Linked DNA regions of Lepisosteus oculatus. The protein of the gene in region 1 interacts with the protein of each later gene in a pairwise test. Links are inferred from orthologs where the notes say so. Each region holds a gene or a part of one and is shown in the gene's direction. Other genes may lie near its edges.

The links.
Region 2: the proteins of fez1 (region 1) and pam16 interact in a two-hybrid assay, tested with the Homo sapiens proteins (2 studies listed by BioGRID and IntAct). The link is inferred for Lepisosteus oculatus from reciprocal best matches to the Homo sapiens genes FEZ1 and PAM16.

Annotation. Positions count from the first base shown.
Region 1 is NC_090718.1:7,806,324-7,823,372, reverse strand, and holds the start of fez1 (fasciculation and elongation protein zeta-1), read left to right. Parts: upstream 1-10,996; 5' UTR 10,997-11,340; intron 11,341-13,731; 5' UTR 13,732-13,798; intron 13,799-14,943; 5' UTR 14,944-14,985; coding exon 14,986-15,287; intron 15,288-17,049. Other genes in the region: acad8 (isobutyryl-CoA dehydrogenase, mitochondrial), read left to right, coding at 306-443, 1,087-1,222, 1,365-1,462, 2,293-2,445, 3,028-3,130, 3,787-3,842. UniProt on the Homo sapiens protein: May be involved in axonal outgrowth as component of the network of molecules that regulate cellular morphology and axon guidance machinery.
Region 2 is NC_090714.1:3,926,956-3,943,083, forward strand, and holds pam16 (mitochondrial import inner membrane translocase subunit tim16), read left to right. Parts: upstream 1-7,099; 5' UTR 7,100-7,191; coding exon 7,192-7,194; intron 7,195-7,915; coding exon 7,916-8,000; intron 8,001-8,568; coding exon 8,569-8,705; intron 8,706-9,161; coding exon 9,162-9,227; intron 9,228-9,769; coding exon 9,770-9,865; 3' UTR 9,866-9,952; downstream 9,953-16,128. Other genes in the region: coro7 (coronin-7), read left to right, coding at 504-645, 1,959-2,048, 2,427-2,543, 3,424-3,559, 4,445-4,536, 4,825-4,911, 5,087-5,095. UniProt on the Homo sapiens protein: Regulates ATP-dependent protein translocation into the mitochondrial matrix. Inhibits DNAJC19 stimulation of HSPA9/Mortalin ATPase activity.

The DNA of each region.
Region 1 (17,049 bases):
AAAATAACATTATCCACCGCAGCTACGGTCAGGGGGAGCTCTGAAACAGAACATCAGACACCCTTAAAGGAGTTGAAGGGACGTAACGAGAACATCTAAACCAGTCCAATTTTGTGACCTGCCCGTTTTAACCTCACGTGTGAGCCGCGTGGGTTACTGGTTGCGTAGTTCTTGCTAATGTCCGGCTAAGACGATTCCCAGAGAGCTTGACGTTTTTTTAATGCCACAGCAAAGGGGAGAGCTGTAAGCGCCTGGGTGAAGTGTACGGAGTTCAGACGGAAGTTTCTTTGTCATCCCGCTGTCAGGCCTTCATCAGCGGGGGCGGCGATACGGACGTGTACGTGGTCATGTGTCGGACTGGGGGGAAGGGAGCAAAGGGAATATCCTGCCTTGTGGTGGAGAAAGGAGCACCGGGACTCAGCTTTGGCAAAAAAGAAAAGAAGGTAATCGTGTTTCGTGACTCCGGGGGGGGGGGGGGAGGCAACCCTTCATCTCTGCTTGTGGCGTTTCTTCATACTGGGGCATTGAAGCTGCCTCTTAAGAGTAATTGCTCTGAGGGCGGAATTCTTTCCACGTGTAAAAGGCCGATCCTTTAATTTAATAATAATTAATTACTTATATAGAAGTACTTATATAGCACTATTCTGGACACTCCACTCAAAGCACTTTACAGGTAATGGGGACTCCCCTCCACCACCAATGTGCTGCATCCACCTGGATGATGCGACGGCAGCCATAGTGGGCCAGAACGCTCACCACACATCAGCTCACACCTGCTTAGCTTCAGTGGGCTGCCAGTTGTGAGTTGCAGGGTGATATGGCGGCTGGCTATCACCCTGCAACTTTAAGTAAAGAAAGCCACATGGGTAGTAATGGAAAACAAAAGAAAAATCAAATAAGTCTGATATTTTTCATTGGCCTTTACATGATGTATCGAGGAAGGCAGTATTGAAATGTGTCCACCAGGAGGCGGACTTTTAAAGAATAAAGAATGAAAGCCCTTCTAAGGATCTAAGTAAGTTTTAAGTGCAGACTTAAGCAGGGCAGCCACGCATCGTGTCCTGTTTTTGAAATGGCCTTCCCCAGGTGGGGTGGAACTCCCAGCCCACCCGCGCGGTGATCTTCGAGGACTGCGCGGTCCCCGTAGCCAGCCGGCTGGGGGAGGAAGGCCAGGGCTTCAACATCGCCATGAAGGGGCTGAATGGGGGAAGGATCAACATCGGTGAGCTTGCTGCCGACCTCATCTCCACCCACAGGCCGTTTCCGCTTGATCAAATCTTCTTTTCTCTAAACGATCACTCTCATTTTAAAGGCCATCTATACAGTATGTCTTTAAACTCCTGTTTCATTTGCACCCCTCACAGCTTCCTGTTCGCTAGGGGCAGCCCACGCCTGTGTCCTCCTGGCCCGAGACCACCTCAGAGTGCGTAAGCAGTTTGGGGAACCACTCTCCAACAGCCAGGCAAGACTGACTAATATCTACACGACACAGTCACTCATACTGAAGAGCGAAATAACCCGTGGTGTAGAACCTCCTTTTTCATCCAGTGCCTGAATACTGGAGCATGACTTTCTTATTGCATTGAAAGGTTCCATGTTATGTTACATCCGCGTAAGGTCCCGGCAGGAAGCTTTGTGTCATTTATTTTTCACAAGGAGGGGTGGCTTAGCAGTAATGTAGAGATGTGTTGTAGAAATGACCCGTTATACTATTCTACACCCCGTTCATGGTAAACTTAGTTTAGTCTAGCAGGAAGGAAGAAAAGAGAACTTCAAAAGGCAAACAAAATGTCAAGTGTAGGACACAAGGCTGGGCTACAAGTCCAACACAAGGCCCAGACTGGGCCTTTTAACAACCTTTTCCACTTTTGCTCAATTATCCAGGCTTCCCCAAGAGAATTTAGTCGTTGCGAGATACAAAAATGATAAGCAACAGGTGATATAATCAAAAACGATAACAACCATCTAGTTTACCCATTTCCTGCCATTAGGAAGGAAGGAATAATGTTTCGGGTCAACATTTTTGGGGTTTTGGGTCAATGGAAATTTGGAAATCTTTTAGAAAAGTGAATAAATAAAAAAGGCTGTTTACCTTTAGCCCTGAAGAAGGTACTTCTTCCCACAAGGCATGGCTGAGGGGCTGGATCAAGCCGCCCAGCCCTGTGGTTGAAGCCGTTTCACTTCAAGGAGTGGCCGAATGAGATCCTCAGCTCAGTACGATGAGCCCGATGTCCCCCGGCCGTCTGTCACCTTCCTTCTGCTCCAGTCTCAGTGTCTTGTTGCCGGTTCCAGTTCCTGCAGTTCAGGCTGGCAGAGATGGCGACCAAGCTGGTGGCCTCGCGGCTCATGGTGCGGCAGGCAGCGGCGGCCCTCCAGGAGGACCGGGATGACGCCGTGTCCCTCTGCTCCATGGCAAAGCTCTTTGCCACCGACGAGTGTTTCAGGGTGAGTTTTGGCGGCCACACCTGGCAGCGTTCGGGGAATCTGCCGAAGTCCAGTCATGTCCGCGGCACGGCACCACTGGCTAGGTTAGGTAAGGGCGGGCGATGAGCTTGCCGGGACGAAGGCCGCAGTGCGCCGAGAGCAGATTTGCTTCTGCTCCTCCGTCCGGCATGAACGCTCCTGTAAGGCGTTACAGAACCTGCAGAGTCTGGAGCGCTGCTGGGCTCTCCAGGTGAGCCTGTCAGGAGGAGGCCTGACAGGTCTCGTGCTCTACCCAGGGGGTGTAGTAGCAAGTGCTGAAGAGACTCATCAAAGGCAATGTTCTTTCAGGCCCGTGATGACTCGCATGTAGCCTTTTGACAGTGTTTCAAAGGGTATCAGGCTCCAGAAAGTCTTCACTTTTCTAGATCCCTCTCATCAAGTTTGTAGGGCAGACATAACTATCATTTTTTTTATTCGAAATCTGCTTGTCCGCACAGAAGAAAGAACAGAAAGATCAGTGGTCAGTGAGTCACCCATCGCTGTTTGTAGGTTTTACCCTGCTGGTTTAGGATCTTGCCTTTTCTCTTTCCCATCTCCACGCAGATTTGTAATCAAGCACTACAGATGCACGGAGGCTATGGCTACCTCAAGGATTATGCGGTGCAGCAGTTCGTCCGGGACATTAGAGTGCATCAGATATTAGAAGGTGCGTGAATGCAATGTGTTTGAACTGGTGTAACTGGTGTAAGCCAGAGCAGGCTTCCAGTGTGTTTAATGTGAATAACCACTTCCCTTTTGGGCGGATGTTATAATGCCTTCCTGCCTTTGGTTTTGCTTCACTGCCTTTCTAATCTTCAAGGGAACAGTTTAAATCAAGAGAAAGACTATGATGAGCAATTTTATGAAAAATGACTGCATGCAAAACCAATGATTGCTATGTGATCTTGATTTTGATCTTGATCTTGATCTTGCAGAACTTTGGACGAGACCAATTTAACTTTAGGAGAATAATATGTCTGAAAATGACATAAAGCAAAACAGAAAATTTTGGATCCCTTATTAATCCAAGAGCTTTTACGTTCTTCAAAAGGTCTATTGCGCATATCCAAATTTATCAACTGCTTACAGCACAACATTCTTTTTAAACTGCTCCTTAAGAACTTACTTTTAACCTGCTCATTTTCTTCTACTACATGTTCCAATGGTGCCAAACAATCTTTGTCTAATATTACTGTTCCTGCATCCATTTCGCTAATATGAAGAAAGCAGTGCAATAGTTGTTCATCAGGCCTGATCAGTCTGCTTTGGGTCCATGTTAAAGGATCAATTTTCTGATCCCCAACGGTTCTTTTTTTCTTTTAGGCACCAATGAAGTGATGCGTATGATTGTTTCAAGGAATCTGTTGATGGACCAATAAACCTCTGTAGCTTGAGGACACTCCCAAGGTCAAATCCAGCATGTCACCTTCAGAACTGAAAAAATGGGCACCATCTTTCATAATGCAACCTCATGCCCTCTCCTGGGTTGTGATACGTTTGTTTATGAAAGAAATTGGTATTTTGTTTTGATAGATACCTCACCATCTAAGGGTCTCTGTCTTCTTCTGCAAACAGTTTTTATCATTTAATATTTAAACAAAGCGGTTTTAGTTTTGTGTATTTCAGGTCAATACCCGACTTTATCTCAATATCTCTAATGCAGCAGATCATGAATGACAAGCAGTTTGTTTTTGTTTTCTTCATGTATTAATTGTGGGACAAATTTACAAGGTATTGCATTAGAAGGAAAAAAACAGCTTGCTATTTTGAAGGGAGCTTAACTCATTGTAGGCTAAATCATTTTAAAATATCCATGCAGCCTGAAGATAATGTTTTAAAGTTAACGCTCTCAAAAATCGCTCATGACCTTTGTGACAAAATTACTTATCTCCAGTAGACTCTTCAGGTTGTTAGAACACTTGCTCTGTCCATGATAACGGTGAAGTATTTCCATTTGACAGACATACTGTACAAAGTGCTTCCTGTAAAGTAACAAGTTGTGATATAAGAATGGTTTCACACTAAAATAAAATTTCTGATTTCAATCAACATCTCTGTTTTTAATGTCTAGGAATTTGCAGGAAGGTTTTCCTCTTCACTTAAAAGGCTTGCGGGAGTTTGAAACAACCTACCCTGCTGTGCTGTTTAGGCCTCTATCCTGGCTTTTATCAAGACACAGTAATGAAGCTACCTGCAAGCATACTAGTTTTAAAGAGTTTCTTCTCATTTCTAACTTTATGTTCTTGTGTTACTATGGCTACCACTACAGTATGTGCCTTCTCAACCGACATGTCTGGGGCAGGAGTCACCAGCCTGTAAATAAAAGGCCATGTTTGGTAAGACAAATATATTGTCACACAATATATTTCATCTGTAGTATCCCATTCATTGGTAACGACTCTCTTCAGTGGGCAAAAATAACATGTAACACACCATTGACACACTAACACGAGGAGGAGAATACTTGTTAAATGACATTTAAATTAACTTCACCCCTCTGCTTTTCTTAGTACCACCATCTTGGTCTCCTCTGTATATTGTAATTGTGTTTTTATCTTGTGTATTCTTTTTATTTTTTGTTGTTGTCATCCTGTAAAGCGCTTTGAGAATCCACCTTTAAAGGCGCTTTATAAAATAAAGTTTATTATTATTTTTATTTCCGTGGCTCCAGATTCCTACTGCAAGCCGCTGTTTCACATTTAAAATGATCTGATTCTGACCCGGTTGTCTTTTAAAAAAGTGCTCTTGAACAACAACAATAACAAAAAAACAACCTTGATGATACAAAACACATTGATTAAAAAAACAGACATACTGGTTGAAGTACATGATGAAGAAATGCATAAGGCTGCATGTAATGATTATTGGTATTGATCTGCCAGTAATTGGTTTTGTCCGAGATCCTTTATCACTTGGAGCGAAGAGAGGCTTCATACCACATTGATTATAGCAGCAGGGAAGAGTTGTAAATGTTGTGTGTGGCTCTTTAGCATGGAAAGAGCAATTGAAAACAAATGTTCACTCTGCCTGGATTCAAACCTGAATTTAAGTCAAATCAAATAAGCAGGTCTTGGAACACACCAGGGGGGAGGGTGGCAATTTACAAGCTCTGGAGCAGCGATTTTCTACAGTGCAACGGCAGTCGTTCATCAAGTGAAAAAGCCATTTAATTGAACAGCCTAAAAGAAGAAAATGGTAAATTTTGCCATTTAAACATAACACTTATCCCCCCCCCCCCACAAAACCCATCTCTTTCGGTGACGGAAACTTGAGAGGATGACGGAGAACCAAGATGCGGCTGCTTCCTTTTTTCCATTGAGCCTCTTCCTTTGCTAATTACCACGGCAACCGCTTCACGTGCAGCATTCACCAGTGCAGGCCACGTTGCCACAGCAACGAGGTCTCTCCAGCACTTCGAGTGTTCTCTGTGGTGGGTGGTGAGTGCTTACGTGTGTGTGTGAGGGGAGTGGGCTTATTAAGATAAATCAGGTCATTCATCTGTGAAGGAAGTGTGATTTACATCAGAGTCTGAAAGGTCAGGCTCTGCCGAATGCTCTCTCAATCACTTTCTGAAACAGGCTCTCCATATTCTATATGACATGCTCCAATTCCGAAATCTAATGAAATCCAGTTGTTATTCAAAAGAAGTGTTAAGACCATATTTATTATTTTAATATATCTTAACAGAAATGATTACAGTGGCCCACTGAAACAAACACCTTGATGTCAACCTTTGAATATCCAGGGAAATTGATTCTTGCTTCGTAAGCTGCATGAATAATTGATACCGGTATCCACACACATTATGAAGGTATGTTATTGTGATTAAAGGGCCATTTAGTAATCAAATCTAAATCTGTGAATCCCACTAAAACCAACAGCCAAGACACAGCGGGGGTCTCGTTTCGTCATTTTCAAAACATCGCCTTTACCTGGAAATTAAATAATTAAATATCTACACATCCTGGTTTAGTCTATTTGTTTAGAGGTAAGCTCACAATCAGTCTTTCGTTTTGAAAAAGATGACATCACACCTCACTCCTCTCTCTCTCTGCAGGTGAACTGAAAGCCTCTGAAGAGATGAAGTCATTTCTGGCTGTGAGCTCGTAGCCCAGTCCCTCCCTTCCAGCTCATCAGCCTGTTTCTCTGTCCTTCCTCTCGTTCCTCCTGGCTCCTGGCTTCCCCATGTTCCCAATGCAAACCAAGGTGCGGAGATGAATATTTCTCCCAAAACATACCAAACAAAACCAGCTGCAGGCTTGTGCTTGTGCTTTTACAGCATGAGGCCAAAGGCCAAAACAGGGCAGCACCTGGAGAAAGACACTGATATCCAGAGGTCTGTAATAGCTCAGCAAACCCAATTTACATTTTTAAGCTCTATGTTTGCTGTCCAACTGCATATTTTTCTTAAAGCTCCAGTGCCTCCCCTCTGATGTCAGCGGAGTCAAATCAAACAATTTTTTTAATGCAGTTTGCGCTGTACTGTTTACACTGCTGGATTAATAAGCACTCAGACTATCCTCATACAATAGGCAAGTGCATTTATATCCACCTAAGGGCAGTCCATTAATATACAGACATCCAGCTCTAATCAAAACAGCAATGGGTGACCGTAATTGCAGAGGTAGTTGTGATGAGGTCCTGTGTAGTTGATCAGTACATGCTCACAGCAATAATACAAGACGCATTGGGTGGGTTACATTTTCTCTTTTCATATAATTGGATAATTGTTCCTATCCAGTACATGCAAAACATATTGAATTCATTACAATATTTTACGCATTTCGTGCCTTCAGGTCAAATTGAATTGCATGCCTTAGTGTGTGCTCAGCTATCAGCATCAGAATACAGATGTAGACCTAAGACCAGCTGTGTGCCATACATTAACATAATTTGTCTTCCCTGAGACGTCAAAAATCTCAGTGTAAATACTCAGACAAATGTTCATTTGAATTCATATACAGTAATATTAGATGATTTTCAGCATTTCCCTTTCTGTATACAGGGAATACTTTATACACGTACATGTATATGTTTATCTCTGCATACTTAAATGTGTCCTTGCATTCACCCTGTTCCAGAATACTGAGGAGCAGGAAGATCTGTGTACAATATTTCAGTTCTAGGACACACTGAAGCCAGTGAAACAATTTCTTTCAGTTCAGAATTCATGAAATCGATGGTATGATGGGTGTGTAGTGCAACCAAGTTCTTAAGTTAACATAAAACAAGGTCTTCACCTTTACACACATCAGCTCAACATCTATCATCATAGAACGGGTGTTTTATGGTGGAAAATAAATCTACCTTTCAGCCTAGGTCAAAAATCCATGAATAATGTATGAATCGAAATAAGAAAAACAAGTGCTTGTTTGCTGTTCTCAATGTTACTGAGATACAACAAAGGCATAAAACCACTCCTTATTAGTGGTAAAACTGCAAGTGGAGCTACAGTCACCGAATGTCAGAGGTAAGGATAGTCTGTGATTGCACTAAAATATGCACAATTAAGAGAACACACTGTGCCATGAATCGACATACCTCACCAATAACTCAGATTACTTTAAAAACTAAAAAATTAACAGCCGATGGCTTTACTTAAAGCCCACTAATCAACTGAGTCATATGTGTTACGATGGTTCTCATATTTCTACTTTAATAGGACTTTAGATATATAATATAGTATTTTATCTAGAGAGTTACACATTTATCATGTGGCTTTTTAAATACCATTCATCCACTCATTTTCTAGCCACTCAATCCAATTACACAAGGCAGGGCACACCCTGGATGGGACGCCTGTCCATCACAGGGCACACACAGACACGCACACTCACACCAGGACCACAGTTCCCAGAAGCCAAATAATCTGCCACCATGTCTTTTGACTATAGAAGGAAACCCATGCAAACACAGGGAGAACATACAAACTCCACACAGACAGCAACCCCGGTCCAGAATTGAACCCAGGGCCCCAGTGCTGTTAGGCTGTAATGCTAACCATTGTGCTACTTTAAAAAGAGGGTGACATAGTACCTCACGATATACAATATACAATATATTTTCACCACCATGTCAAAGATTAAGTCTAGTGAAGGATTAAGCAAATCCTTCCGATCAGATGAGATCTAAATGTAAAAATAATCATTACATTTGCTAGGTTAGGGCATCTTCAGCCCATTTGCATTCATGCCACAACATGATAGGTGTGTGCTTTCTTGCCGATTTGAAAGTTTGCACAAGGGCTGAAAAGGATGAAGGGCATCCATTCATTTCTTAACATTTAGAATATCAATATCTTTTGTCTGTTTTTACATGTCACTTTGTATAACACTGGATTTCTAATCTCATTTCATCTCGGCATTGTGGCACAGCTGACTTGATTAGGGCTGACATGATCTCTGGGTGATTAGCAGTGCTGCCTTAGAGCTTTTGGTCCGGGGTTTGACAGCAGCTAGGGGCACCATCTGTATGAACCTCTCCTAGGTTCATCCTACCTACCAAATACATGCCAGCTATGATAACTGGTGTTTCTGAATTGCCCCCATGTTCCTGCAATGCACTGACATTCCATCCAGTTCAGTTCAGTGTATTGTCATGTGCACGAGTGCAATGAAATGCTTATTTGCATGTGTGCTCCAATACAAAGACATTAAAAGGAATCGCCAAAATAACAAACACAGAACAGCAGCAAAAGAAGCAACAACAAGTTAAATAACCCACAACTTAAAAACAAAACCTCAGTGTGAGCCAGTGGTAGGGGTAGAGTCCAGTAATCTGACAGCTTGTGGGAAGAAACCGGTCTCTGAGTCTGGAAGTTTGTGCCTTTATGCTCCTATAACGCTGACCATAGGGAAGGGGGGAGAAAAGTGAGAAACCAGGATGACTGTGTTTAAAGATTCTCGATCCAATGTCCACAAGCCCACAACACGAGACAGACAAAGACGTACAGACGAGGAGCAACATGCAACATGAAGACCGGTCCATTCTTGAACCTCATATTTCTAGCCTAGGTTCCACATTGCCTCAACAAGCACCAGAAATAAGTACTTTTTTGTGGGTGGTTTGAGTAGTTGGCTACACCAAAGATGCTATTGCACGATCACCAATGCTGTCGCCCAACAATCTGAACCAGAAAATGCATGTTAAAAGGAGAAAGAGAATGTAGTGTGCAGCTCATGCTATTCACATGACCGATCTGCCAATGACATTTCATTTTTTTAAGAGCTGGCTAAATCGATAGCCACTGAGAAGTGCTCTACTGGTATGCTTTTCCATTTCCAGCTTTTTTCACTTTCCAGCTGGATTGCCCGACTCCAAAGGTTTTTTGAACAAGTTTTTTTTTGGGGCAGAGTTTACCTAGCTGTCATGGGGCCAAAAGACAAGTAAACAAAGTAATGGACACAGCTGATCAAAAGTGGTTCCTGATGATGTTCTTCATTGATTGAAACATTCAACAGTAATGGGCCATTCCTAGGGAAATTATTGAGGTAGACTCCATTGGAAAGAACCACTGCATAATTACAGGAAATGAAAGGAAGAAAGGAAAGAGGAGATGGAAAGAGGAAAGAAGAGGAAGGGAGAACAAAGATCATGTCTCACCATTATCATCATCTCCAAAGATATGGCAGGGAGAGACCCTTTTTCTAAACACACCAGGAACCAGATTCTGAATAAGTAACCTGAGCATTTGTATAAGAGGACTTGCAACCTTATGTACGCCTGTATTGTGGAATCCTTAAGCTAAAAACATTTTTTCCCATTTTTGTGAAAACAGGGAAATTGGTTTCCCATTCATTTATTTTACGGAAGGCAATTGTATATGGTTCCTGGGTAGGATTAATTTTTCTTAAGATAGAGCTTCTCTCTATTTGGCCTGTTAGGGATGGAATTCTAGATGTCTGTGGGGTGTGGAGTGTATTGTGCAGTTGTTCAAGTTATTGTTTAAAAATATTCATTTTTGTTCAGCTAAAAAGAACAAACATGCCACAGAAAGCTCGAGTTATTTACTACCCACTGTTTTGTTACAGTATCTTATTGCTGAGCTGTTCTTCACTCGAACTGTGGACGGAGTCCCTTTCTGAAACCACTTCTAAATGATGTGGATGTGTTTATCAGCTTGTCTTGACGTTCAGCTATAGTGCTTATAAAGTGTTAGACAGTGAGTCAGTCCGTCAACCGTTTATTTTTAAAACTGGTCCATTGTGCTCAGCGGGGTGCCATCTGTATTTTCTGCTGTGGTTCAGTGGTTCCGTCTTGCAAACGCAAATGACCTCTACAGATGCATTCCAGAGAATTAAACAAAGGGGAAGACATTATGCCACACAGCCGTTCAATTCCAATTCCAGCTAGGAAGGTTAACGATGCTGCTCAGAACCGTTTCAAGGCCTGGCTCACTGTACAGCTACTGTACCAAGCGGCCTCACATCCGCAGCTCACTGAGTTCATGAATATTGAAAGCCCTGAGTGGTAGTGATTGGAGGGGGAGGATGCTGATCTTCTGCGTCGCCGTGGTGATGCTTCCATTGCTCCACAGCGGAGACGTCTGCTATAGGGCTGCTGTGGAGGCTGGCTGCCCACTGATTCAAAAACACCATCCTCTGCCTCTCAGGCTCAGGAGAGAGGGAGGTTTACGCTGAGAAGGGGGGCCACGGCACATTGAGGAAAGAGAACAGAAGGGGAAAAAGGAGAGAAAAAAAAGGAACACGTCGTTCCCATTGTCTTTCCTTCATTCCTGCACTGAGAGGGGGGGATGCCTTTGACTGCCTCTGCTTCGCTGGAGCTGAGATGTACAGACGCGGGCAGCGCAGCTGAGATCTGCATTGCTTAGGAGGGGCTCTTCCCCCGGCGAGAGAACGGAAAACACATCCATCGCAGGTACCGTATCCCTTCTCTCCATTCCCCTCTCTGTGCCTCCATTGTTTTTCATCCCCTCCATCCCTGCCGGTTCACTTCTGACAGCTACACAGCTCCCCTCCTTTCCTCCCTGCACTTGCAATATCCACCCGCTTATTTACCTTCTGTTTATACATACTGTTTTTGTGGCTAAAATGATTTGACCTGGGAATATTCCGAATTTAGGTGGATGTTTTGAAAGTCCTTTCATTTGTCTGTAGCGATATTTCCAAATGTCTCTCAGTAGCTTGTTAAACACTGATGTGAGTGTTCTGTGAGATTTGCTGATGACATATTGGGCTGAAAGCCTGCTTGTGGTCCATATTTAGAAAGGATGGATACGCGTGAAAGTGCTGATTGTGATGACAGCACTAATGTAGATCACGGGTAAGCTTAAAATGCACTAAACTGAACACAGATTTATATTAGTTCTGTATTCAGGGCCACAAACATGGACATGACTGTGGTATTTACTACTAATAAATATCAGATAATGTAATAATCTGATTAAACTAAAATTAAACTGTTGTGATTGTTGTTCATTTTTAATTAAATGACCACGATATAAATATTGATAGAATTGGAGGCATTTGTCTGTTCTTTGATGTATTTTGTCTTCATTTAAAACGGGGGCAGTTATTCCTTAACCATTTCCCTGCATGCTCCCCATTCTGGGCTGGTCTCGGCGCTGAGGGGGAGACCGAGCAGGGAGTAGAGGGTTAGAAGGTGATGATGAAACACACAACAGGCCCAGGTGAAGGTTAAATGGTTTTCCCTGGAATGCCAGCACACCCCAGATCCCAGATTTGCATGTCTCTGCCGAGATTAACAAAAGGAGGTGGATTTGTTTTCTTCGTCTGGCTCTGGCACCACGAATACCGTCTCCTTCATCTGATCCTTTTTAACGGCACCTCGTCAGAAGGCTTCACACATCCCTCTTGTCCTCCATGCTCGACAGCAGTGGTTCGCTTTCACGGCACAAAAACTTTTTTGTTGTCCTCATTGATATGAAACCCATTTTTTTGCACTTTCTCAGCGAACGAAAAATAGCTTGTTAAAACCACTGCAATGCAAGATTGCTTCACGAAGGACATACAGAATTTTCTTTCCCTAGCCAATTACAGTAAAATAGTCCTCGCTATTTGGAAAGATATTTTTTCCATAGTCCCTGACTAATTTAGAGCCTCATGATTTGCTCTGAGGAATGCTCTTCCGTTTAATAGCCTTGTCAGATCCATTTGGCCTGAAATCTGCCTCAATGAGAGGGAGAAAGAGACACAGATTTCATTTCATGTCAATAATGAGTACTTATTTTGTAAGATACTCTCACAAAATCTTCAGAAAGGATTTTCCTTATTTTATTTTTTTCCCCCTTCAGAGCCTGAGAGGCAATCTATAGGAGTTAACAAATTTAAATGTAACGGGGCAAACTTGTTATTACTTTATTGTTTAACCATTATTAAGGCTGTCATTGAAACAACCTCTTGGAACATCTATTGAATAGTATGAGGAGTTGTTTAAGCAATTCGAGTTCATATGGTTAAAATAAACAAGTCCTGGAATATTCCATCTGCTGTTATTTTTCTATCAGTCCTTTTGTGCTCTGTTGATGTTCAAATGAAAATTGTGGGGTTCAAAACCAGCATTGGAAAACTGCATATTGCTAAACTTAACAACATATAAAGGTAGTAGACAAGTCAGCAACTTTAGGCTCTCAGTCTCTCCAGGAATATGACCTCTACAGACCTCATAAAATCCAGCACTCTGTACCTCACTGTGTAAAATAGCTTTACAACATCAAGTAATGGGTTTCATCCCTTGATTTATGGCCAAGTAAGGCTGTTTTCCAGGCTTCTCAGTACATACAGTAGCAATGATTTTCTCATTAAAGTAACATTAATAATATAAAGAAATCCAAAAACACATTTTTTTATTTTTTAGTTCATTTACTCTGTATTCCACAATGTGTATACGAACTTTGTCAGGTCATGGATCTGTTGTATAATCTCACGATCTCTCTGGCTTCTCCTGGCCATACATTTAAATTGTGAAATACCTCCTTTGTTTTTTTTATTTTCCTTCAATCTGATTTATATATTGTTACTTCAGCACTTCAGAGTAGACGTCAGTGATGTGCATTTGACAGAACAAAAGCCCCTACTTTGAATTGTGTTGTATTGTATCTGCAAAGCTGTGAGTACTGTTACATGTGAAGGAACAACATTCCCTCCAGGGACTACTCTGCATCTGGCATTGAACAAAAAGTAAGCAGTAGGCATCCTTTCTAAAGATCTTGGCATCAAAATGCATGGTATCCCTACAGCTGGTGAATTGTACAGGACAGAAGTCTGACTATTGACAAATATCTTACAGGAATCATAATCAAACAGACCATCAGATTCCCCAACACAAAGAGTGAAGATAGCAGGATATTGAAAAGGTAACAAAAAATCCAGACATTGGGGAGAACTGTGTTTTAGGATAAGGACAATTGAAGTTTTGTTTTAATTGTGCTCGTTAAAACACTCTGTTAGGTTTTAAGTTTTAAGTTACTACAGACCTTCAAATGTTGCCTTTTGCTCTTGGGTAAAAATGTACCAGGTACCTTTTCACAATACACAGAATAGGTAAAAAACAGCTGAAAGCAAATGGACTCCAGAAGGAAAAACACCGGTGAACGTATTTGGGAAAGGAAGACCAGATGAGAATACTTTTGATTCTGTAAAAGGTCTTCAAGAATTAAGCATACACACTTACTGATAATGTGAAAATAATTACAGTCCTCATCAGTTCGCTTGCCAAGTACTCATATGATTACCATGTGGACCAACAAAAGAGCTTGTAATATCTCATTAGGGGAGATCAGATTCATCATTACATTATGTGGCTACATTTCTGATTCCCTCAATTATCTTAGAACTTTTTTAATGAGTTCCTTGGTATTAACAATAGGCTGGATCCCTGGAGCAGAGACATTGACAGGACTGTCTCATTCCTATTTTCACATTATTGCTAAAAATATATCTGTATGAATGAGTGATTACACCGATAGACTAAAATATGTGGAAGTGCTTTAGTTCTTGCTTGATCAGCAATTTATCTCCAGGACACCTCTCTCCAGTATGATACTCTAATGCTTTATTTTCCTAGCAGAAAAAGAATTACGCTTCTGAAACAAGTTTTACATACCTTATGAGCACGATTAAAACCTAAAAACCGGGGGATGTAAGAAGTCTTGCTGCATAAGATCGATGAGGTAAAAACAGGGTGATAACGAAGGTGACAGATTTTGGCTCCCAGCGGGCCAGTGGAGGAAAAAATTAAATGGAAAGCTTGCTGTAAGTGGGCGTTCCACACAAACTTTTCTCATTTTGTACTCCCTTGTACTCTAATGAGCACACCATAGGATGGTGGGATGAGAACAGGGACTGTAGGAGGGTTTTAAAGATATCTATGAGCAAACCAGTTAAATAAAATGCTTTTGGGACAAAATCATCTTTAAGAGTTTATTAAGGTTCCAGCACAAGCTTGGAATTCTTGAGCTTTCTCTCATATATACACCACAAATGTCTCCCCCCCCCATAGGCGTGTGTGTACGGGATCTGCCCAGCCAGGGAGTCAGGAAAGATGGAAGCCCCCTTGGTGTGCCTCGATGAAGACTTTGAGGACCTGAGACCCTGCCAGGTGGAGAAGAGGAGCCAGCTCCCCCCGCGCCCCGCCGGGACCGCCCCCCTGGCGCGGGAGGAGTTCTCCGAGCTGGAGAACTTCTCCGAGATGATGAGCTTCAAGTCCATGGAGGACCTGGTGAACGAGTTCGATGAGAAGCTCAACGTTTGCTTCCGCAACTACAACACCAAGACCGAGGGCCTGGCCCCCGTGCGCAGCCAGACGCACATCGAGGAGGAGGAGGAGCTGCTCCAGGACGAGGAGTGAGTGTCGAACTCATACGGGGGGGGTGCAGGGGTATCCAGCTTAAGAGCTTGACTGAACCAGGACACCGTGTACGAAACGATCTGGGGTGCTTATTTGGACTCTTCCGGGTTTTTTATCCAGACGGTGTGGGAAAGCGGTAAAGAAAGCAAGTGGGATGCTTGGGTGTGTAGCAGAAAGTGGGGAGTACAAATCAAGGAAAAGGGTGCTCAAGCTCTGCGATACTTCAGTAAGAGCTTGTTTGGGATACTGTGCTGGATTTGTGTCACGAAACGACATAAAGGCGATCGTAGCCTTTGAAAACATTGAAAAGGGATCAAGAATGGCTCCCAGTCTCACACTGTAGGTTAAAGGCACTTAATCTCTTCGGTTCACACGCTCCCTGTGCGTGGAGTTTGCATGTTCTCCCCCAGTCACATTGGTTTATCTCTAGGTGCCTCGGTTTCCTTCCGCCAATGAATCAAGTCGGCATGGTTTCTGTAAGGAGTCTCTCAATTGTCCTCGTGTGTCCGTGCGTGTAAGCCGTGGTAGACTCCGACCTCGGCCATCTTGATCCCTGTTCCACCATGATAGGTTCTGGGTTATGGTCAGCCTTGCCAGCGGTAAGCGGCTTACTGGTAATGGTCGGGTGGATTAATAAAATAGTAGCAACATCAGAATACGGTGAAGAACACACTAAATACTTGCCTCGTCAACATGGAGTTATGCACCAGTTTTCAAGACCTTGAGCCACCAGAGCAACATAAAAGTGTAAAAAATCTGTGCACAGTAATTTTCTGAGATTTTCTTCGAATTCAGTTCTCTGTGTTTCAGTTCTCTCCCTCTCTCATCCCTGGCTGTGTCCTGCTGATTATACAGTAAGCCACCACTTCAGCAAAGGTGAAAAAGTCCTGAGTCAAATTTCTTATCATCTAATAATAGCTCTTTGTGTTAAAAATAACACTGCTGTAGTGGCTTGAGGGTATTGTAATTCTAATCAATGCATATCCCTTTTGAAGCAGGTCAAACATGGCCTCAGTATTGATGACATTCCAAACCTTATTTATATGTGGAATTCATAAGCCAAAACCACAGGGTGTCTAAACAGATCCTGGACTACAGTTTATTTTCTGGCTGAACTGCCAGTTCAAGGGAGGAAACATTAAAATACAAAACATACAAGCACAACCTGTTAATCCGTCTGATTTGTGCTTTAATTCAGGGTGTGAGCGATTAGCTTGATATCATGTGGAAAAATGCTGGCTGAGTTACTCTGAGACTGAGTGTTAAAGATCGCTCAATTTGACTAATTGACCAGCATGAAAAAATTAACTGGAATCTGAGAATTTATGGTACAGGTAGAAAAATCCTAAGGATTGATGATTTGTGCCTACAGTTCTATGCCTTGTCCAGTCCAGTTTTCCCATGTCTAAAGGGTAGAAACCACCTTTGAGTCCTCTTGCCACCCACACTAGTTTTAAGCTAGCACCATAACCCTCTCACAGCACATGGGCTATAGTCTTCAATCTGCACCTAGTTTTCACTTTTTACAATCCGAGCCCATGTGTTTGTAGCAGAGCCTTCACAGCCCATCGAAAGGTGAAGGTTTTTAAGAAAAAAAAACAAACCTCCTTGAAGGAGCAGATTGAAGGAGGATTTGGTTTACAGAACGTTAGGTTCCCATTTCACAAAGACCACCCCGCACTGGGAGTCAGCCTGGCTTTTAGAGCTTTAGACTAACTTCTCAACTTTGTCTCGGCCTGAAATGTTTTGATGGGGAGT
Region 2 (16,128 bases), on another chromosome or scaffold:
CCACTCCATTGCCGAAAAATGAATGAAAATGAATGTCAAGACCATGCTGCTCATTCTAACAGACAATCATCTATGGTCAGACCTAGAAAAGCTTTTTTCCATGCCTGATTCTTATACTGTAGGTGCCTGACCAGGTACAACAATCACAAGACATCAGATTAAATCTCAGGCTCTCCCTTTCCTAATCTGAGCAGGATGTTCTTTATGTAAATAGTAAGCATAGAGCACTGAAATTCTTAACCCTGTTCTCCTACAGCATAGCTAAGAATGCATACTGAGTGCACAATGGCTGGAAGATTGTTGTATGGGGATGCAAAACTGAATACAATAATTTAGTAAACTGTTTCAGTAAACTGTCTCTTGAATGTGAATGTGAATCATTGTCAAGTGAGGGTCTCAGGTTCTGAATGTTAGAACGTGATTGTGGCGCTGAAGGGCCCACTGTGTCCCTCTTTAGTGTTAGTGGTTCTGATGCAGTTGCTATGGTTACTGTTGCCCGGCAGCCGAAGCGAACGCCAGATCTACCTCTACGCGGTGGAGTCCCTGGCCTCAGGACCGGTGGCTTCCGTGGGCACCGACGTGTCCCCCTCCACCCTCATCCCCTTCTATGACGAAGACACCAGCACGGTCATCCTCACCGGCAAGGTGAGCCCTTTCACCACAGTGTGTGCAAGTGCAAGAGATACAGTCATGTGTGCTTTTTCTGGGCTCAGTCAGGACTGGGCTGAGACCCACTTCTGCTAATGATGCAGATTCCCTTTGTATCGCACACACGGCAGCCTGCTTCTCTATAGGCTTGAGCCAGCTTCCAGAAGATCTCGAGTCCTGCCTGCAGTCGGCTCACACCCACAGGTACAAATAAGTAGGATTCAGGCTCTTTCCCAAATTATGTCAGACACTTACGTAATACATATTAAATTGCTTCCAGACCGTTTGAATCTAAAAAAACTAATTACTATTAAATATACATCAACGTGGTGAAGAACAAGCTAATGCATTACAATGTCGAAAAGGATCCAGACAGTGCAAGAATTATGTGACAATTGAGTTACAGAAACTTGATGTAAAACCTCCGTAGATTAATCCACAACTTGCAATTAGTGTGTTTTTTTTTTTATAGAAGCATATAGATAAGTGGAAACTACTTACAGGCTCATAGTGTGGAGAAAGTCTGGCGTGGAGAGACATGAGGATACGCTCCACGTCCCAGGCTGATGGCGTCGTCATATTGATTGTGTAGATGCTCTGTAGTTAACTTATTTTTCATTAACTCCTATAACGTTTGCTGCTGCAGTCATGCCTGATAGATGGAAGATTTATTCTAAAGGTGGTTTGTGCGATGTTGAAATGACATACAGCAACACTAGAGGAAACAAATATGTTTCATTTTCATATGCGTACAGTATATTCACACCTGAAGAAGGCTCCACAGCCGAAAGGTTGTGTTTTCTTTCTTCTTTTTTCAGCATGGAATAAACCTATTACTTGTATATTCATATGATTATATTAGAAATGCGTTCATGTGATTTAAGCAATGTGTAGAATAGGACAGCAAATGGCTCAAGAATAAGTGTCAAGTGAAGGTCTCAGGTTCTGACTGGTGTCCAGCTTACAGAAACATAGTCTTGCATAACCTGAGTCTGAAATGTTTTTAGGTAAAATGTGTAGAAAACATTATGTTTTAGGAAATACATTGAGACCAAACTGCTATTTCCCATATAAACCACAAACCTATTGAAACTAGCTGATGGAACTAGAAGATAATTTCTTTCTTTTCAGTAATGAATCCTGCATCCCTGTCTGCTCTTTTCCTCTGACCTTGACCAGGGAAAGAGGTGGAATTTCTAAAGGCTGTTGTTTCAGAGTAATTGCCCCTCTCGTGTTACGGACAGATAAACAACCCGGCCCTTTGATGCCTTCATGAATAAATGCGGCTGTGTTTGTTTTCCTCCCCGCAGGGCGACACCCGTGTGTACATCTATGAGATCCTGCAGGAGTCCCCCTATTTCCTAGAGTGTAGCCATTTTAACTCTTCCGAGCCACATAAGGTACCCGATCTTCATTCATCTGTGTACTGCTGGCACTCAAGTGTGTAGAGGCAAAACTGTCAAGTGTAATGCGCCCCCATTTTTGTCCCAAACCACCTCCATGTTCTCTTTAGGACTTTCATTGCAAAAAGGAAGCTTTTGGACTGGTGGGACTTGCGGACTTTTATTGGAGTTCTCGTTTTTGTTGTTATTATTGTTGATATTATTTTGAGGAGTGGGTAGACCTAAGGACTTTTAATTGATCATTATCTAGTGGTTTCCCCTGGTCTTCAGTCGCTGGCAATGATTCAGGAATAGCTCTTGAATCTGTAGTGGTCTTGTAGGGTTCTGCCCTGTCGTCGTCAGTCGCCTGACCAGCTTCCTGTTTCCTGTTTCCAGGGCCTCGTCTTCCTGCCGAAGACGGAGTGTAACGTGCCTGACGTAGAGTTCGCTCGGGCGCTGCGGCTCAGCAAGACCTCTATCGAACCCGTGGCGTTCCGTGTGCCCCGCGTCAAGGTTAGCGCACGCTGTACACGAGATTGTGACTGACATTACTGGGGGTAGGATGTCGTGGCACTTCAATTCACCTCCACTGTAAGACCACTGTAGCCACTTAGTTACCTAATAGAGCCTGCTATGGAAGATCTCTCAAGTAAGGAAGAATCAATTCGAAAAATATTTTTACATTTCAGTGGAATTGAAAAGTCCATGCTTAGGCAGCCTTGATAATATACTCCAACTGATGCATGACACACACATTGCGTGTATAATGTGATTTAACTGCAGCCTAGAAAAGAAAAAAAACTGCTTGATGCATTGATGAGGATTGCCCTGATTAATACAGGGGCGGCACAGTGACACAGTCAGCACTGCTGTCTCACAGCGCTGGGGCCCTGGGTTTGATTCCTGGGGCACTGTCTGTGTGGAGTCTGTATGTTCTCCCTGGGTTTGCATAGGTTTCCTCTGGGTGCTGCAGTTTCCTCCCACAGTCCAAAGGCAGGTTAATTGGCCGATTGTACCCTGTCTTGTGCCCGTTGTTTGCAGAGATTGTGGCTTCCCCGTGACCCTGTATTGAATAAAGCAGTTAAAAAAATTATTAATAACTATTCAAAGGCTTCTTCAATGAGGTTTTTATGTAATTTTGATTATCCTGGATAGGCTGATATGAAGTCATACAGCATGTTTAACATTTTCTGATGGATCAGTGAAATATATACAAAAGCCTACAGACCACAGCACCTGAAATATTGTGCAATGCAGTGCTGTGCATTATGAGTCTTATTTCCACCTTGGTACTCTACTCTGTCGGCTTAATTCACCCTATTGTCATCTTTATTTTGAAAATTGCAGTTCAGTGGGCTGATTTGATCCGTGTCTTTCTCTCGGCGCTCCACAGAAAGAGTTCTTCCAGGATGACCTCTTTCCTGATACCGCGGTGTGGTGGGAGTCGGCTCTGGCGGCCTCTGCCTGGCTTTCGGGAGCTAACGGGCAGCACCGCAGAATCAGCCTGCGGCCCAAGGACATGACTCCTGGTAGGACAGCGCGGCCACTGCGCCACTGCTGGAGCAAGAACCATGGCCAAGCGATGTCAGATACCCTGCTCTTTCATTGCGCTCAATTGAAATCGGGGCCATTCTTGCACCAGTCAATAACTGCAAAAAAGCATCTTCCGATGGCTTGAATGTGATGCATTTTCAGCACATTTTTGCAAAGTGCTTATGATGGCTTGATTTTCTTGTCTTCTCGACATCATGGAATAGGCTAACATGAATCAAGCTACTGCATGTCCAACTAATAAGGAAAATAATCCCATTTCTGATCAGTCTCTCAGTATTAGACTAAGTCAGGAATCTCCTGTCCTGGTCCTGGAGAGCTGTATGACAAGCAAATGTGATCGAAAATCATTAAATCATTCACTTCTAATGGCTTGAAGTACCTGTAACTGTGATCCATTTCAATGGTCATTCATTAAGTATTGGTTAAGTAATGCAGAGAACATTTGGAACAAGGATCTGAGCCCTTCAGCCCTCAAGAATCAGGGTGCACTTTATTGAGTACAGCACATGCTTAATTCATCAGTAACTTACAGGTTGGCCTTTAAGACTTACTTGAATGGGGCTCTCCAGGCTTGGGATTGGCAACCCCAGACGTAAACTGTTGGATCAGTTATACGTGACAGCTTCTAGCTTTAATTAAGAAGTAATCGATGTCAAATGTGCATAAAGGGTTTAGCTAATTAAGATGATGCATTTTGTAATCAGGATGCAAGACTGAATAATCAATATAATGTGATAAGGAAGGACAACCTGGATGCTCGTGGCTAATAATTGTGTTTTGGGTGTGGAACGCTGGAGCTGGAAGCTGGCTCGCGCAGAGCTCTGTGCTGAACATCGGGACTCGTGTGTCTGTCTCTGTAGTGAGCGAGGCCCCCAAGGAGGCACCAGTGCGGAAGTACCTGCCCTCGTCAGTGTACCTCGAGGAGAAGACTGACGAACAGAAGAAGGAGGAGGTAGACTGAGCCGGCCTCCACAGCATCGCGCACACGACTCTGCACAGAGCTCCGACACACACTCTCCACTTCACACACGGCCCTGCACAGAGCTCCGACACACACTCTCCACTTCACACACGGCCCTGCACAGAGCTACGGGCGTCTCTGACACACCCTTGAGAGGCAGTACCCACCCTACAGAGAGATCACTATTCCACTGTTACCAGCTCTCAATGTAGAACTGGGCCCAGCAGTGGCCACTGGTGACCGGGGTCCTGTTTCTGACTGTTTCTTGCTGTGTTGCAGCTGCTCAGCGCCATGGTGGCCAAACTGGGGAACCGGGAGGACCCTCTGCCCCAGGACTCCTACCAGGGCGTGGAAGAGGATGAGTGGGTGAGGCCATGAGGCGCCACACACACTGCACCCACTGACCGCCACCGGACAAACAAAGCACTGCACAGACACACACTCACGGCCCGCAGGCGCGCTCTCGTAGGTACAGGGGCTGTACGGACCCTTTCACGGTGCCCTGGGGGAAAATAATCCGATGTTGTGTTTTGTGTTTCAGGATGACTAAAGGGACCAGATCCTTGGGACCAGTCAGGGTGCCTGTAGCGATAAAAAGCTGCCTGGGAATCGTCGTGCCGTTTCTGAACACATCTCCCTGCCTCTGAACCCCACCCGGCCTGCCATTCCGGACTCTACCCCTCCCACAAGTCCCCCTCCACCCTGCCTCTAACAGTCACTGGCTGCCTGTCTTTAGAGCTGGGGTCCCCTCTGTATCCCCAAAGTTACTGTAAGACCCTGCCTGCTTGTCTTTAGAGTTGGGGTCCCCTCTGTATCCCTATGGTTACTGTGAGATCCTGCCTGCCTGTCTTCAGAGCTGGGGTCCTCTCTATATCCCCACAGTTACCGTAAGACCCTGCCTGCCTGTCTTCAGAGCTTTAAGACCTGCTGTACGACTTGAAAGGCATCAGCACCCAGTCAATCACACACAGAGAGCCCAGTCTAGTCAGCCTGTACCCAGATAGCAGCAGATGCAGGTGCTACATGGCTTGTCACATACTAATCCCACAACTCTTCGGTTCCAAAGGAAAGTATTTTATTGAACTTCTCCAAAGCAGTGAAGTGATCTGAGGGCGTCAAGCGATTCCTTACAGACCATTTACTGCTGACCACCTGGCCGTCTTTAACAACAGGCGTTTTGAAAGGAAATGCTTTTCTCTTGGCACAAATCACTCCTTGAAACTCAACAAAAGAGAGAATTTGTCCTTGGGAATCTCATGATCCTGATCCTCAAACACTCAATTGCGCAATGCACTGTGCAACTAAAGAAGCTGAGAGGCAGAGTGCTTCGCTCTGCGTTTTCTGCATCGACATCTCAAGCTGCACGGTACTGTTTTATAAAGAGGCTTTCCAGTACAATCCAGTATTATTGCTTTTGTCTTTATTTGCAATCTGGATGCCGCCTGGCGCGTGCCGATACTCAGTGTCTGGAGTTGGTACGTTTTGTGATGTAGGTGAGCTCAGATTGGGTGGCAGTTCAACCTCTTCCTTGCTCAAATACACCGCACTCCTACTGGACACAGTATTGCTTTAAATGGAGAAGCCAGGTGTTGATGGCTGTGGCGTAAACATTTGATGCAACACACACATTTAGGGAACACACACCTCTTACTGAGGCTATGCCAGGAGCGACTGCTGTCCCTGCCGTGCCCTGTCCAGTTCATCTCATCTCACTGGGCCCTGGGGACAAACCAACCCACTTCTTTCTCAGGCTGGGCAGTTTTTATACTCGGAATCAACAAGATGCATCTCTTTTCCTTCTCTCTTTCTGTTCTTTTATGTCTTTTATGTAGTGTTGTAGACAAATAAAACAGAAACTGTAAAACAAAAACTCTGTGTTTGGACTCTCTTTGTTTTGCCTTCACCTGAAATATGCTCGGCAATATTTGAAGTGAGTTCTGGAATTTGGGCTTACCAATGCTGCTGTAGCAATAACTGTATATATATGGTTCTCATCGATGTACAGTATTTGAAAATGAATGGAAGGCATCTTAGTTTCCCTTTTAGATATCTCAATTTGTGTTAGTGGGTGTTTGGCTTTCTTTTGAATGACGAGAATGGGGATTAATTTGTTGTTTTTTTTTCCAAAACATTAACAGCGTTTTAGAGAAAACTTTTCACGTTTACCAGATGGCGATTGTGGTTGACACTATAAAAACAGGTGCCCTGAAGATAACAAAATCTGTTGTCTGATCAATTGTCAAGATACAGTTTGAAAGCAAAAAGAACAATTTTAAGAATAAGGAGACACCTTCAGCATAGTTTATACGGGTACCTACTACTTTAGTCTGAAAAACAGAAAATTAACTTAATCAATTTTTAGCTGTCGTTACAAATTGGGGTCCAATTGTCTCAAAATATTACTGAAAACACGCTCAACGTGTTTATTCTCCTAGTCCTTCAGAAACGACTGTAGTTATAACCACCAGCCACTAGTCGGCAGTGTTCTCCAGCTTTGAGCTGCTTTATCATTTTACTTCTCTTCTCATCTTTGTTGTATCTTGCTGCCCCTTAACCTCTGAACCCCGGGTGACCTTGAATGATTTCTGGACTGGTGGTACATGTGACAGAGGAGTAGGAACTACACTGTAGATTTAAGTATATGTTATGGTGAGTAAATGCTTTTAATGGTTTATAGCTGTTACAGAGAAGTGATAAAGCGGAGGGGATCATTAGCTAATAAGCTGCAGTGTTACACGTGAGGTAGCTCAACATTTCTGACCTGATGCTATACGAAACTAGACTGCCGCATAGCAGTTAAGTAAGATTATATATATATATTTTTTGTTGTTGTTGTTCTCGAAGGGGCCTTTGAGTATTATAAAACCCACTGCTTGTCATTCTGAGGACGATATCTCAGTACTGTCTGCTTAATGTCCATTGACCTTGTACTACCAAGGACAGATTTTGTACATTTTTAAAAGGATTTAAAAAAACGATTATAATATAGTTAATATATATAATATATAGTAATATGTGTGGGATGACGTGTGTTTGTGAATGTTCTGCATTACAGAACACCTGTTGACCCCGGTTATCTGGAATTTATGGATGTCCTAAAAATGTCTACAGAAATGTTCCGTAGCACAGGCAGACAACTGCAGACAAACACTAGTGTTCCTGCTATCGTTTTGCCTGTGTATGCACCAGAAACCAATGCATCACAGGAGGTCTGGAGATGCCTACCGCTCTGTAGGAACAACAAACTCCCTGCTATCCTGGGAAGAAAAGGCTTTGTCAGACTCCTAAGTGGACAAGCTGGTAGCAGCCAAGCTGAAAAAAAGGGGATGAATGGCTTCTCACTTTCAACCTTCTCTGTCTTGTCCTGCAGGCCAGGTACTTGGCTCAGATCATCGTGATGGGAGCACAGGTGGTGGGGAGAGCCTTTGCCCGGGCACTGCGACAGGAATTCGCTGGTGAGTCCCTAATCAGACCCTTCGGCAGAAACGGAGACACCCCTTATAAACCTGTTCAGCATTATGGCAGTCTACAGTATCTCCCCCAGGCCCGTTCTATTGCATATTTTACCGTGTGTCATGTTCCATCATGTAGACACTCGGCTCTATATCTTTTACTGTAGTTGCACTTTGCTTTCTCACGTTGTAACGTGCTTCTATAACGGAGCTCGTCTGTGAGAGAAGAGCTGGTGTTTTTGCAGCATGGAGCCCGTCGCCGGGCCATGAAAAAGTGAAACCTGCAGAGGTGAAAGTTATTTCGCTGCATAACTCGACATCTCCTCAGTTCTTCCCTTTGCCCTTTCTAATTTGGGTGCGTAACTTAGTGACGCGGTGAAAATGATGCATGTATTCCTGGGTTCCAAATACAGGGTGTCATGTTGGGAGATAGATGCCTTTTTTAAAAATTAAACAGATGTGAAATTCGAACAGTGTCTGGCCTGATCGCTTGATCGCTTGTCCTAGTTGAAGAGTCTCCCCCCCTCTCCCCTCACGTACTAACCCGAGCTCCGCCTGTGTCTCTGCGTAGCTAGCAGGGCAGCGGCAGAGGCCCGGGGAAGTGCAGGCCAGCAGTCGGCCGCAGCCTCCAGCATCACCGGCATGACGCTACAGGAAGCCCAGCAGATCCTCAACATCTCCAAGCTCTCCCCGGAGGAGATCCAGAAGGTGTGCCCCCTCTCCCACCTTCCCGCACACCTCCAGGCCTCCGAGGCCAGTCGGTCTGCTAGGTCACTTGAAATCGCCAACTGCTGAAAACCTTGAGACGGGACAAACTGGTCCTGTTGAGCACACGATCAGCTCCATTAGGTTAAGAGGTGGAATTTAAGCCTCCGGGAACGGTTTCAAAGAGATTCAAGATTTATTATCCCCTAAGGGAAATTATTTAGCGGCAAATTGTAACCACGCCAATGCAACAAATCTCGCCAACACCGCCCTGATGAACTAACATCCCACCCGGGCTGTATCATTGCTCATGCCAGGACCAAGGGTGCAGGCTCCTTGCTGTTATCTGTATCATTTACAAATGACAATTATCTTTTTTCTAGGAAAGATTCATGAGAATCTTATCGTTTCTGACATGCTCAACTTCAACTTAATGTTTTTTCCCCATTTTCCCCTCAGAACTATGAGCACCTGTTTAAAGTGAATGACAAGGCAGTTGGAGGGTCCTTCTATCTGCAGTCAAAGGTGATTTTTCAGTATTTTGTGGATGCCTTGTTCTGTCTCCTTTATGTTCACACATTTGGGCCCCGTAGTTGTCCCGTCCAGCTCACAGAAGCTTGGGTCTAGATTCTTGGGGAACTGGGTTGTCCATCTCAGTCAGTTTTAAAGAGAAATAGCTTATGCAGGAGAATCTCAGAACCAATTTTGTGTCTTTGTCTCAACACAAGCAGTTCATGGTCTCGGGTAAACTGCTTGATCACAAGGGAATGTACGAGTCATCTACAGTATGCGTTTCAAGTACTGTACAGGGTCTTGCAAAATGGAGAGTGCTGTCACTCTCAAATTCTGTAGATGCGGGTATCTTTGAGCAAGAGATATCAAACCTCTCTGCACAAGGCCAAACTAACAACTAGTGCATTTTGAGCTTGGTGTTGCATCTCGTACAGCATTATCTGCTGTGGTGATACTGGAGTGTCGTGGTCTTTTTCATGTTATTTTTTTGACCTGCGTTGAAACTCTCAGTGAAGCAGGGGCCATGAACGGGGCTGCTGCGTCTGTGTCCACAGGTGGCGCGAGCCAAGGAGCGGCTGGACGAAGAGCTGTCCATCCAGCAGCAGAACAAGAGGAAAGAGCACAGTTCTCAGCAGCAAGACCAGACCTGAGCCCGGAGAACCCTTCACGGCCCCCTTCCTCCTCCACCATCCCCTGTAAATTAAGTCCTCTGTAATAAAGTCCCTTTTCTGTATGGACAGGTGGTGTGGGTGCACTTTGTTGGTATAGCTGGGTTATGTCATCTGCATGCAATGCATTCACTGGTGTGTTGGGGAGAGGGAGAGGAATATTAAAATGATCTGCTCCTCCCAGCAGCATGAAGTTGTCCCCTCACAAGCAGCACACAGGATGAAACTCACCTCCTTGGCTTGTGCTCATTTGTGCTGTTGAAAGTAGCTTTGGTGCTGCTTTTATTGTAAAGGATATAGCACCTTCCTTTTCAGGTAAGTGCCAGACCATCTACAGGAACTTCTGTCAGTACCCTGAAAATTCAAAGCACTAGATTAAAGTTTAGAGGTTAATATCTGCAATTTTGTTTGCCCCTTAACTTGCAGCAGTTGGTTTTGCTTTTCATAGCAGTAAACAAAAACATTAAGTTCCTCTCTGCTCATCATATTTAGTCAATATGAATGTTTCCTGCTTCAGTGAACATAGTAACACTGAGTTCTAGACTGTTGGAATTATGAACTATGTACACACTGTGGCGGACACAATTCCCATCACTATAACAGCTCAAGGCTCTTTAGCAGTTGGGGCAGGTTGCATACACAAATTGAACATGTGGGTTTAGTGTCTCTGTACCTCTGATAAAGGAAATTGGCCTTCCGCAGTTGCAGTCAGCAACCACAGCCGAGGTGGTAATTCACCCAGAAAATCCAGTTTAGTACCTGGGTTGCTGTGGACAGCAACACTGCCAAGCCTGTTGTCCCTTGGTCCTGTCAATAGTTGCAACTGTAGGACACAGTCTCAGGCTATTTAATCTGTGTACTACAGGTGTGAGAACTACATAATGGAATCCTTGGTTAGTCCAAGGTGCAAGATGTCTATTAAGACGTAACTAGTATCCCCAACCTCCCCCTTGACACATTAAGATACTGTAGCAAGTTTTCCTGCAGATGGCAGTGTTTTAAAATTTCAACAACAAAAAAAAAATGCCACTGAAAGCATAGTTATCAATTACTGTCCTCCCACTGATCTTCACAGCACTAAAGCATTGGTGTTGTGGGACCAGTGTCTGATGTCCAAGTAATAGTTTAAAGAAAGTAATGGCAGCATACAAAGACTTCCAGTGAAACCTCCACTTTATTGCACAGACATGATACAGCCATTACAAGATCAGGGTCAAGGTCATGACAGGTCAGAGGATCACCATACACACCAAATAGCTTTGCTGCACATTGGAGTGGCAGATGAAGTCCCATTCCCGTTATAAAGCTTCAGCTGCTAGTCTGTTCCTATCTGATCAACAGGGCTCTTTTTCAGCAGGGGGGAAAGGACAGGTGACATGACCAAGTCCCAACACCACACACACACACTGAACAACATTCCTACCCAGGCTAGTCACACTCTGGACTCCACAGGCTTGGAGCACATGAGCTCCTCGTCTTACCCAGGTCATGAGCCATCATTGAAGGACCTCCACACCAGACTTGAGGATACTGCCATAGGGAAGTTCACTTTAATACAAAGGGACTAGGTAGTTAGACTGATGCATTTATCCAGGGTATCTTTAATCTTCACTCATTTCAAAAGCTGAAACAAGTTCAGCCATGTCCTACCTGGGATCTCAGTGTAGGGATCTCTCCTCACTGGCTGTGCAGCAGGGTCAAGCTGGGTTTCTGGATCCAAGACAGGAACACACTGGGCTCTTTCTGGTATATAGCTTTCATCGAGAGCCTGCAAACCTAGTCCCTCGGAATGGGATTCTTGTGGAATACCATCTTTCCTGCAACAGTGTGCTGCCAAGACAAAAGATTGTTTAATGGAAGGCATTGTACACACCCCTGAAGCCTCAGTTTTGCAGGGGGTTTCAGGTCTGTACTTAAGGCTATACTGCCTTCAGAGGAAGTACAAAAGAGCAGCTAGCTAACCCTTACCTATAGCACATCCTGGAAAGAAATCAAGACATTAAGCTATGGAAAAGCTCAGGTTGTTTTCACATGCAAGACCCTACCCTGAACATCTACCTGTATATTCAGCAATGGTAAATTTAATCCACAACCTCAATTCACCCCATTATAGTTTACCCATGAGCTGGTACACATTCTTTTTGCACATCTCTGTACATGTAGCTCTCCCTACTGGACAGCATCACTCACTGCACTTCCAAGTCTAAAAGATGATCAGCTGGCTTCACTAACAGTGTTCTGGTTGAGTTTTCAAAGCCAGTGACATCTTGCTCTTCTCACAAAACCAATGCCAGTATTTTAGAGCCACAAAAAATATTAACAATACAACTCCCAATAAATAACAATTAAGTTCCTTTTCAGTTCAAATCCCCCTCTAAATGTTGTCCTCCAGGCTTAGCTTTTATAAGCCTCTTCATTAATTACAGGGGCTTGGCTAATTCTGTAGGAACCTATCCCAAAAGCCCTAAAATCCTCATGTGGAGTGGCCAGGTGTGTCTAACTCAATATTGCACACCTGCTTCCTGATCCCTGTCTGCTCAGAAGCCATTTTGGCTCAAAGAAACACCACAGCCTGGGCTTGAGCCAAAATGCAAGATTCTTACAGAAGCCTTCTAGGGACACTATGACATAGTTTTAATACCTTTTTCTTGGACAGTATTAGATGTGTGTTCTTTCTAAACCTTTCAGAACAGCTCAATCTACTTAAACAGATTAACAAAGATAATGAGAAAGATAATGACTTGATTATAGCTTATATATACTTATACATCTACAGATTTGTGATATCTAACCCTTAATATTTCTCTTTCTATGTCAGAGCACTTGTCAATGCCTGCTATGATTGGAATGGTGTTCTCAGTCGATGTATCACAAAGGAGAAACTCAAATCCCCTACAGCCAGCTTCAGCTGAGAGACTATGCTCTCCACCCGTTTCACTGACACTCAAGGATGAGGGACTGATATGTCATGAGCATTTGCTTATGTTCATCCTCTTTCCTCTTCTCCTGTACTCTGTTAATTCAATGAGATCTCCCTACTTTGGTCTCTAAGTAAAGCAAGTACAGCACAGATAGATCAGGTTATAGAACAGTAAGCGTCCTGCAAAGAACTTCAGACCCCACAGCTCACCTACATATTGCTAAATTCTTTCATTCACATTCCTGTGGCTCTCAAAGACTAATAAGGATTAAATGCACTAACTGTGATTTACTCAGATGGCCATGGGAAAAATGATTTTGAATTTGTAATTCATGGGGGCTTCTGTAAACAGGCTCGATATCTTTAATAAGTTTTCACGTGGAGCCAAGAAAAATAGCTACCTGCACCGTCAGTCTGTAGCCACGCCCACTCGAATGACATCTCTCGCAGGCCACGCCCCGCGCACCTGTGCGCCAGGTTCTGCTGGAGAGAGCGGAGCTGAGTGAGTTTGTTACGCGTCTTTTATGATTATTTTTCATTTTTCCTTCATTTTAATGTAGATAAAAATTAACTCGTGTAATTATGTTGTCTACACCACGCAGGGGAAAGGGGGGTAAAACACGTATTTTCGTTGGGAGCTAAATAACATTTCTAAGTCTTTGTTCACAAAATCAAGCGTGTGCATTTATCCAAACCGAAATAGCTTACCTGGATTTGTAAAGTTTTTTATTATTATTTTCCAGAGCATTTTGTGTGTTTGTGCTCTTATATTCGTGGTAAAAAATTCGCTTGCAAAGAATACTTATTGGTTTCAATGGTCTTACATTCTAAATTCTGCTTTTTTGTGTTTTCTGTTTAGTGTCTTCGGGCAGGACATGCACTTATATAAGTATAAACGCTTTATTCATTTCGTTACACGTATCTCTTGGAAATATTTTCTGCGCTATCTACCCTGGTGAAAACGCCGACTGCTACAGAAACTTTGGTTTAAATCTTTAAATAATCGTCTAAATAATTATGTCTTGTGTTTCCAGTTTGGTGTCTTCGGGCAGGACGAGCTTGGCTCAGCTGCTGGAATTATCGATGTAAGTATAAATGTTTTTATTTATAAAGCGGACATTGTTGTTGGAAAACATGATGTACCTTCTCAAACTCAAAAAACTTCAAACTAGGCGATACTAGATTTCTCCGGGGCAGAAATGGTTTTGACCCGACAACACAGGGCTGCTGTTTAAAGAAATAATTTTCTGTTAAAATTGCTAATATATCTCTTTTTTGGTTTCAAATTTTTAGCTTCCAGATTACATCAGAACAATTAAAACAACGAAAACTATCAAGAAATGGATTAATTATGTGTTAACTAAGTTGTTTTAGAAAACAATTTGCTCATAAATCGTAAAAAAAGCACATTAGAATCTGCGAGTCTTTAATCGATACACTGTAGCTGTATTGCGTATTTAGTATTGAGACTTTAAATTAACCTTTAAATGAAACTACTTCAAAATGAACTGGTACATTTTTTGTTACACCACGCTAAGCGCTTTATCCCAACTGTGAGTCTTTTTAAATTGTTTTATCTGCTGAACATATCAGCAAAAACAAAAGCTGGATCTATTTATTTCGACTTAATTGAAAGATTCTGTTTGTTACAAAGTTAATACTGATTTTTGTTTTGCAGAAAATGCAACGAAGTTAGTCTTCATTCCGGCCGCTGCCTCGACAGAAGCCTCGGAGAAACAGTAACGTGATGTGTGTTTCTGTGTTTTTCCTTGCAGTTGCATGCAAAAGTTTTCGTTGACTTGTAAAAGCATTAAGCCTTAATGTAGCCGTGCTTTGACACTTTGTAATTGAAATGCTTGTTAATTTTCACATCGAAGCTTTTGCAACTGACGTATTGTAATGCTTTGTTTTGTATGCCATTTTCGCTCAATAAATTGTTGATTGAACCTTGGTTTTGTTCTTTGATTTCTTGTGCAGAGTTCTGTACCCCCTTGGCCCTGAAAAACCCCGGTGTTGGTGAGTTTTTTGGCGGAGAGATTTTGCTTACAGTTTGTGGCCGCAAGGGGACGCCCTATCGCTTTTTGACTTGAAAAGGTCAAAGGCTACCCCCTTTTTAAGCGTGTCCAGATTTTCCCGCCAAAAAACTTAGTATCTGGGGTTTCTCTCGGGGTCTGGTAGCAATCAAGCCGAGCCTCGCCCACCCCCCTCATTGGAGAGGGGTAGGCGGGGGCTGGCTGATTGACCGCAGCTCTAGCCAGGCCCACTCGCTCCCGGCAGGAGAGGATGGCAGGTTGGTGGTGGCTTTGGTCCCTGCAGAGAGGCAGGTCTCCTGGGGTGTGGACTTAGAAAGCTGTCAGTTGCAACTGTGACTGATGGGCTGAGTCCGCCCTGGGTGCCTCCTCTCTCTCGGGCCGAGGCCATCTCCAGCCTGCCTTCCCCTCCTGCTGGGAGTGAGGGGGCTTGGCTAGAGCTATCTTCCCTTCTCCTCCCCCCAGGGCTAGACCCACGCTCCCTCCTAGGGACCCTATTCCCCCCCAGACTATCTAAAAAGGCGGGCGTCCTCGCACTTTTCCAGGTCAGTGCGATGGGTTGTCGCCTTGCGGTGCGTGGCGCACGCGCAAGACAACCCTTCGCACCTTCGAAGATACAGGACAATGCAGACAATGAAATGAGAGTTTTTATTGCAGAATTCACAGCACATACAATAGCAGCAGTCAACAGAAAACATGCAGGTCAAGAATAAAATACAGCACTGAATCGGGACATTACAGATCAAGCCACTGGTAACAAAAATCAAATGTAACAAAAAGCAGCACACATTGTCGAGAAGAACCTGCCAACGCACGACGAGTTGCTGGAGTGGATTGGAAAGGAGATCATCGGAGCGCAGAGAATCAGAAGCCGCAGAACTGAAGGCAAAAGAAAAAGGATCAAGTTAACAAGACATCGGACTTGCAGAAACGATTCACTTGAAGTTCTGAAGTCTTAACTTTTAAAAAAAAACTGCCCCAATAAAGAAACATACAAACACGCTCAAATTCAACAAGCAAACAATAGGTAACATGAGAAATCCCAGATACACCCCGGTCCTACTACTATAATATTTAGAAAGTAGGTTCAGCCTATTATGAATAAAAGAATCCATAAAAAAGAACCAGCGCTTTTGTATTTCCTATTTGTATTCAGCAAAAGCACAACTAACCGAAAACGTTAGTAGAAAACCTTTCTGGTGTTAAAATGCTGTGAAATACGAGTCGTCTTTAATACACCAATTTTGCACAAATATAAATAGTTTAGCGTAAGGTAGGAATAAAACTTACCGCGG